Linked DNA regions of Yarrowia lipolytica. The protein of the gene in region 1 interacts with the protein of each later gene in a pairwise test. Links are inferred from orthologs where the notes say so. Each region holds a gene or a part of one and is shown on either strand. Other genes may lie near its edges. The genes, in order: YALI1_E38491g and YALI1_A05220g.

The links.
Region 2: the proteins of YALI1_E38491g (region 1) and YALI1_A05220g interact in binary tests that used the Saccharomyces cerevisiae proteins (3 or more experiments, as listed by UniProt). The link is inferred for Yarrowia lipolytica from reciprocal best matches to the Saccharomyces cerevisiae genes MSS51 and COA3.

The regions. Positions count from the first base shown.
Region 1 is NC_090774.1:3,847,275-3,851,188, reverse strand, and holds YALI1_E38491g (uncharacterized protein), read right to left. Parts: upstream 2,044-3,914; coding exon 754-2,043; downstream 1-753. Other genes in the region: YALI1_E38479g (uncharacterized protein), read left to right, coding at 3,294-3,914. UniProt on the Saccharomyces cerevisiae protein: Has a dual role in the assembly of cytochrome oxidase subunit 1 (COX1). It has a regulative function on COX1 synthesis, acting as a translational activator specific for the COX1 mRNA, and it also binds to newly synthesized COX1 protein.
Region 2 is NC_090770.1:521,293-524,829, reverse strand, and holds YALI1_A05220g (uncharacterized protein), read left to right. Parts: upstream 1-2,068; coding exon 2,069-2,139; intron 2,140-2,755; coding exon 2,756-3,005; downstream 3,006-3,537. Other genes in the region: YALI1_A05254g (uncharacterized protein), read left to right, coding at 1-758; YALI1_A05229g (uncharacterized protein), read right to left, coding at 1,027-1,884. UniProt on the Saccharomyces cerevisiae protein: Required for assembly of cytochrome c oxidase (complex IV). With COX14, negatively regulates COX1 translation and is involved in MSS51 association with newly synthesized COX1.

The DNA.
Region 1 (3,914 bases):
CGTTTGGTTGGGGAGACATGCCCCGAGAGGGAGTGATGGAAGCGTTCTCACTGGTGGTTCTGGACAGAAATTGAGCGCAATTTTTTTTGGAAAAGTAACAGCTGACTCATTTTTTAATTAACCAATCTTCTTCCGAGGACTAAAAGCAACTTCAGTCCCCATTTCTGACTAACACTGGAAGATCCCGGAAAAAGTCGGAACTCAATATTGCCCCGAAATCTTCTTCAACGTCACGGGAATAACAGGAGATGGGTATATTGAGGGTGATGCGGTGACAGGTGGGGTTGAACTATTGATGTCTGTCCCAGATACTCTAGCATCCAGTCTACAACTCTGAAAACACCTTTTGGACGGGTTGATGACCTTTTCCAAACACTGCTCTGAGATCGGAATCTGACTAATGGTAACTAACACAACCGGAAAGTATCATTTAGCAGGTCTATGATTGAACCGATGAAACTGGGAAATTATTGTTAATTTATTGCATTGAGTAGAGAAAGTACGGCAGAAGTGTTAAAAGTTGTATATACCATTCATTGGTTCTGTATAATGTTTCTAATGAGTAAAGTTGGTGTAATTACTTTGTAGTATACATGATACAACCCCTTGGTATGTATGTACAGTAAAACTGCAGAGCTTGGTCAAATAAGTACTGTTTTTACTACAATTCAGTCAGTGGTTTGGTGAGAGCTGCTCATCTTCCTCGCTCTTCTTCCTCATTTCATCTGTCATAATATTCACGCCCTATGTACATTACTGGGGAATGGCGTGGTATCGCTTGCCTCGGAAAGCAAACATTTGCTGGTTAAACTGGTAAACCTCCGTAGAATTGAGATCGTTGAGCTCCCACTTGGTCGAGCCAAAGATGTTCTCTGAGGGCTCCAGCAGCACGTCCAGCTTGGAGCCAAACTTGTCCATCAGCCAGTTCCAGTCTCGCTCAAGGTCATCCTTGTGGAAACCGGTGGAGAAGATGGCACACTTGGACTCCAGCAGACCGGGCAACGACTTGGCCCACTGATCCATGGCCTCGGGGGCTCCCAGACCGGGGTGGAACAGGAAGAATGCATCCAGGTAGGGGTCGTAAGGGAAGAAATCATGAGCCTCGTGGAGCACATGGAAGTAGTCCGAGTAGAACTTGAAGGTCATGGTGTCGTCGATCTTCATCTCCACGGGTCGCGAGTGCTGCACGTACTGGTGCTTGTCTCGGTCGTAGTAGGCCTCAGGACCAATGAAGTACAGCTCCCACTTGGCGGTAGGGATGAGATACGAGAGCTGTTTCCACACGTGGGGGGGCAGCTGGGACTCGGCTCGGGCGCCCAGAATGAACAATCGGATGGGTCGATCGTTCAGAGCACGGGACTTGTCGATGGGGAACAGAGAGTATCGCAGAGCAGCCAGGGATTTGAGACCCTCGAGGGTCAGAGGACCGTTAGGCTTGAGAGCGTAAGGGGACATTGTGTGCAGCACGGAGCCGATTGTGACGGGGTATGACAGCATCTTGGTCACGGCTGCCATCTGGAACTCGGTATCCATGGAGTAAAAGTCTCGGGTGTACAGAAACAGATCCCAGTTCATGAAGTTGACAGTGTCATCCTTGTCCTGAGCTCCGGGGAGATCAAACTCGGGGAAATCTCGACCGGATCGCAGATCATGCTCGTAGATGTTGGCCATGAAAAGCTTTTCGGCCTTGTTTTGCTCTTGGAACGTCGCATCCGACTCGTAGGCCTCTCTGCTGTGATGGGTGGGGATTCCGGACTTGGGACAGACGTATCGCACGTCCTCGCCGGTCACGGGACACTTGGAACGGGCGCGGATCACCGCGGCCCGCTCCCGAATATCCTGGTTGGGTGACTGGTCCCACAGATGGAACCGGTTCTCGGGGGTCGGATCATTTTCATTGCCGCTGTCGTCCAGACCAATTGTCTGTTTGAGAAACTTGAGCATGCCTCTCTGCTGCTGGACGGCGCCGGCGAGTGGGCGAGAAGCGCACACCAGCCCTGCTGCTCGCACAGACACTCGTGGACAGATTCGTGTCGAGAACATGTATGTATGTGGTTTGGTTGTAGGTGAGGAAGGGCCGAAAATATGACCAGATTTGACTCTGAGTTTATTTGAGGAGGGAGAAAATGAGAAGGCGAAAAAGGAGGTACCAATGGCGAAATATGGGCTGTTTGGGGTTGATGGAGGTGTAAAAACGGTAGTAGAAAAGATTCACTGCTTAAAAACACCGATTTTAACGCTATTGACAAAATCTTCACTCACTTGCTCTGATACTTGTGGCCCTTCCTGCGCCACTATTAGCCACAACTCTAAATTTTCAGACGCCACATTTGGAAAGGAGGAGAGCCGATTTGACATGGCAGTATGTACACTGCTACAGTACGAATCCTCTCCAGTCGACTCATACATCAATGTATGTCTCTGCTAGGCTAGATAGTCTGATTAGTCATACCGGCCCTGTATGCGTTTACTAATACCTCCTGGATCGTACCATGTTTTATACAAGGGTGGCTACGTAAAACGTGGTCCATCTTCTGGTGCTCAATGACGTACAGTCAATCTTAGGCCAACTTCCACTTCCACTTGATAGAAGGGTTTTGCATTGGACCGAGTGTCGGAGTGGGCAATAAGTCACATGACCTCTCAGCGGCCCGTCGTGAGTGCATTTGCACTTAGTAATACCCCTTCTTGTAGCTTGAGCGCATATATAGGACCATTTTCTTTTTTCCAGTGGAGCCAAATAGCTACGATACTTGAACCAGTACGAGCACGACTACATACTGTAGTGGTGGTGTTTATGTACATAATATGACGGTTTAGGACGTTGTGAGACACTTTAGAGAGCAATATATTACTAATACGTCTGTAAATAGCCCATTTTAAGATCTCACTGTTCCCGTTCAACAAAATCCACCACAGCAGCTGTCATCGGCGTTGATCCAGCTCTCACCTCTATTTGTTGATGTTACACGGCACAGTATACGCCGCTGCAATACTGTAGTTATGGTGGCGTTGAGCCGCCAGTTGATATTTTAGCTGTATTACTGTGTACTACTGAAAAAGAAGCATCCAGATAGTAGTATAAGTGAGTCGTCGTCGTATAGTCGTCCCCGTTCTCATATAACCAGCTAATATAGTACGAGTATCATACTACTATCATATTTTTCATCTGAATATATTGGTGACCCTAAACACAGTTTGCTCACTCCGCCCCAACAACCCTAACCCCAGTTCCAGGTACTTTATCGCGAACCCGGCTTCATCACGTGCCTAAAGTTGCCAACTGCCAGCACATGCCTTCGATCAACATTCTCTGTTCGTCTGCTCTGCCGTTTGTGCCTACCAAGTTCCAGATAGATGCTCATGAGCATGAGACGGTTCTGGTGGTCAAAAAACGGCTTTGCCAGAAACTGGTCGAGTTACAGAGACAGGGAAGTGTCGAAACGTCCACAGAGTCTTACAACCGAGAACAGGAGCATTTGGGCAACCCGGGCAATCTGAAGCTGATTTTCGGAGGAAAGATCTTGCCCGACGCCAATGAACTGCCCAATTTGGCGGCCACAAACCCCACGTTCCATCTTCATTTGCTGCCTGTTTCCCTCGACAAGGAGAAACTGAGCATTATTGAGAGGTTTCGAAGAGGAAGCACTAGTAAGGGCGATGCGAATGGAGGAGCAGAGAGTTCTGGATCGACACCAGCGGAGTCTCAGACCATGTACAACGTCCGACTACTTTCGAATCAAGCAAAGCCCACGATTCACTACAACGTCCAGCAACAGAGTCTGTACAACATGGACGGTGAGGCGTCTCTTGCTGACCTGAAGCATCTGCTCATCAACTCTCTGGGCAATGACACTGCTGTCAAGTCGCTGGATTTGGCTATTCAGCGCAAGTTTGTGGTCTTCAACTCCAAG
Region 2 (3,537 bases), on another chromosome or scaffold:
CTGTGCGACCTTCCACTCTGGACCACAAGCCTCTTGTCTTTGGAGCCACTGACAAGGCTATTGAGGTTCCCCACGAGGGTCGATCTTACAATCCCTCTCTGGAGGCCTGGCAGGCTCTTCTCAAGGAGGAGCTGGCCAAGGAAGAGGCATTGGAGGAGGAACGACTGCAGCTGGAGGCCGACCAAGCCCGTGTCCAGCATCTCATGGACACCATGGAGGACCACGAGGACAAGCAGATGGATTACTCGTCCGAGGAGGAAGAGGAGGAGGCCTCTGATGAGGAACTCGAGGGCGGTAGCGTCGGTCTGTCTATCAACGCGCCTGCCAAGGAGAAGCGAAAGAGCATGGCTAAGCGACGACAGATGCGAGAACACAAGGAAAAGGAACGAATTCGAAAACAAATGAAGATGGAGATGAAGAAGATTCATGAGAAGATGCAACAGCTCGCCAAGCGGTCCGAGAAGTCCGAGCAGGAGAAGCAGGATCTCAAGGATCTCATTGCAGGAGGCGAGGCTGCCGAGAAGGTGCGAACCCGTCGGTACGGCAAATACGAAATTCTGGAGCCCACTCTCGATGTCAAGCTCTCAGGCGAGCTCACAGACTCTCTTCGACGACTCAAGCCCGAGGGATCGTTGATGCGAGACCGGTTCCGATCGCTGCAGCAGCGAGGAAAGATCGAGGCTCGAAAGCGACACAACCTCAAGCCCCGATACAAGAAGAAGGTGACCGAGAAGTGGTCTTTCAAGGACTTCAAATAGATGCAGATGGGATGGAATTAGTGAAAAGTAATATATTTTGGATTATACAGGATGTCAAGGTGAGATATTGGTATTGCGATACGACTACTGTATGTACAGGTACAGTGGTAATGGGTCTAATCATTTATGCGGAGCGAACGAGTTACTGTAGAGCAGACAATCTACAATTAGGACGGAAGAGATCTTCTACACTTATAAATCTGATTTTAAATAAATGCAATAAATATATAATACAGTAAACATAGTCGTGCAGTCACGATTTTTCGCTCTAAAATCCATACTTTGCTCCACTCTCCTTTTGGGTAAGGCGATTCTGAGAGTATGACGCCTCCAGCTGCTCCTTGTTGTCCTGGGCTTGTCGCAACAGACTGGTGATCTGGTGCTTGCCTCCTCCAATGGCCGTAAGAGGTCGCTTGTACTCGTCAAGCTTTCCTTCGGCCTTGAGTCTTTCCGATTCCTCCGTGAAAGCGTCCACTGAGAACTCGTGGATGTTGTCATTCGCCAGATTCTCAAATTCTCGATCTTTGCTTCGATTCTTGGGCCGAGGCGCTGCATCCAGCGTTTGGGCATGTGTTTTTTCAGAAACTACAATAATCGGTGGCTCAGCCACTTGTGTAACATTGTCCCCAATAGCCTGTGGCTTGATGATCTCGACCTTGGTGTCTTCCCTTACTTCCTTCTCCTGCTGGGCTCGCAAATTAAACAGGTTTCCGAGGCGTTTCGGAGCAGTTTGAGTCTCAGTTGTCGTTGAGTCCGCAGCCGCATCACCAGCAATAGTATCTACAACCGCAGTCTCTACAACCACAGTCTTTCCATCCGCCCCAACCGACTGGCCCTTGGCAGCTCGCTTTTCGGCTCTCAGCCGTTTTCGGACCGAGTTGGGCACCATTGTCTGCTTGTAAGATGCAGCGGTATTCACGGGGGACTCTGTCTGAGCCGGAGTCTTTTCCACCGCAGTTTCCTCTGTGCTAGTCTTGAGCTCTTCCTCTTTCTCAGTCAGCTTTTCAGGAACAGCAGTCGGGGTGTCCGTGGCGGAGCCCGCTCTGTCTGGAGACGCCGCTTTCTTAACGGGCTTGTTTCCCAACGCGCTGAACCGTTTCTTGTGTCGCAGTTGAATTTTTGCCATTGTCGCACTGATTCAGGAATCTTTTCAAAATCTTTTGGCCCATCACCACATATCCAGGAGAGCGCATCCTGTATGCAATGAAGTTACCCTACCTGTTCGCCTTGTCTCCAAACTCAAAATCTCATGAGGTCAAAATCTCACCACCCAAGGGCTCATATCACACACACCCACACATCACAGAAACATGTCTCAGGATCCCCATAACGGAAAGGGCACCTTTGAGGTGCACAAGCAACCCCAGCCCGGTCTCAAAGTGTGAGTATCACGACAATCGAGAGATTGACACGCCATGATATGTGTCGTAATCAGAGACAGGAGGTGGCTGCGACACTCAGGCAGTGTTGGCGGTGGAGGTTGGATTCGGGTGGCTAATGGTGGACGGGAGTGTGAAGAGAAGTTGTGGTTGAAATGGGCTATTTGAAGAGACGTGTTTGGTTGGTATTCCCCAAAGCGACTTGCAATCAAACTACCAATCTCACTCTCTTCAAGACACTACAGCTGCGTGCGACGATCAGAGCCACTGATCTCTCAATGCAACTCTGGGTTCAGTATCTACACGGACATTTTGTGACCAGGACAACACCGTGAATGAGAAATGTGTCTCCTTCATCCTTCTCTTCTCCAGAAAATCTACACGTTGTCTTGCTTGTGACAGACCCGTTTGAACTCTGCATTGCTGTGGCTAGCCACATGCCGCAACCAGCCAATCAATTGCTACAGCAAGCAGCACGTCGGTTTTATCACAACTACACCCTCTAAACTTTCGATGGTATCTTGAAGGACCTACTCCTGACCTCTGACCTCTGACCTCTGACCTCTGACCTCTGACCCCTGACCTTCGACCATGCTCGACCGTTCCATTCTAACACAGTTTCCGAAAGGGCAAGTACATTGACCCCAAGACCTTCCAGATGTCCCCCGCTCTGATTCGGGCCCGACGACCCTTCTTTGTGCGAAACATGCTCGCTCTGGCCGGCCTCACCGGTTTTGTCGCCGGTATCTACGGATACACCATGTACTCTCTGCGTACCGACGACTTTGGCGATGTGCCTATTCCTCCTCTTGATCCCGAAGAGATCAAGAAGCTCCAGAGCAAGTACAGCGACGACTCCAAGGCCTAGGTCTTTTGTATATATGTAAATAGTAAATTATTCTGACTGAGCACTGCGGGACTGACTGACCGTAATCAGGTCAGAAGTGCACCCAATGAGCTGTCTCATTGTGATTGTAGGTACGAGTAGACGACAATATAAGAACTCTACTCGTACCGGCACAACTGCGACCAGATACCATGTCCATCAGTTCTACTACTTGTAGCTGCCTGAAGATATGGTGCATACTGTAGAGCATGTAGGCATGTAGTGTTCGCTAGAGTAGGAACTGGACCCACTAACGTGGCCAATTGTAGTCGATGAGAGTTATATTGAACGAACAAGTGGAATTAACCACAAAATGTGTACTATCCTATCACCTCTATTTCATGTGAATGGTTTTATCTTGGGCGGTCGTCCAAACAAATATTCAAGTATCAGGTCAACTAAAAATTCCATAAAGTCAACTAAAATCCAAACTTAGTTTTGGATGACTGCTTCGTGCTAAACCAAAAATAGACTTTGAAAAGCAAGCTGGACCCTTACATGAGAGCAAAAGGGC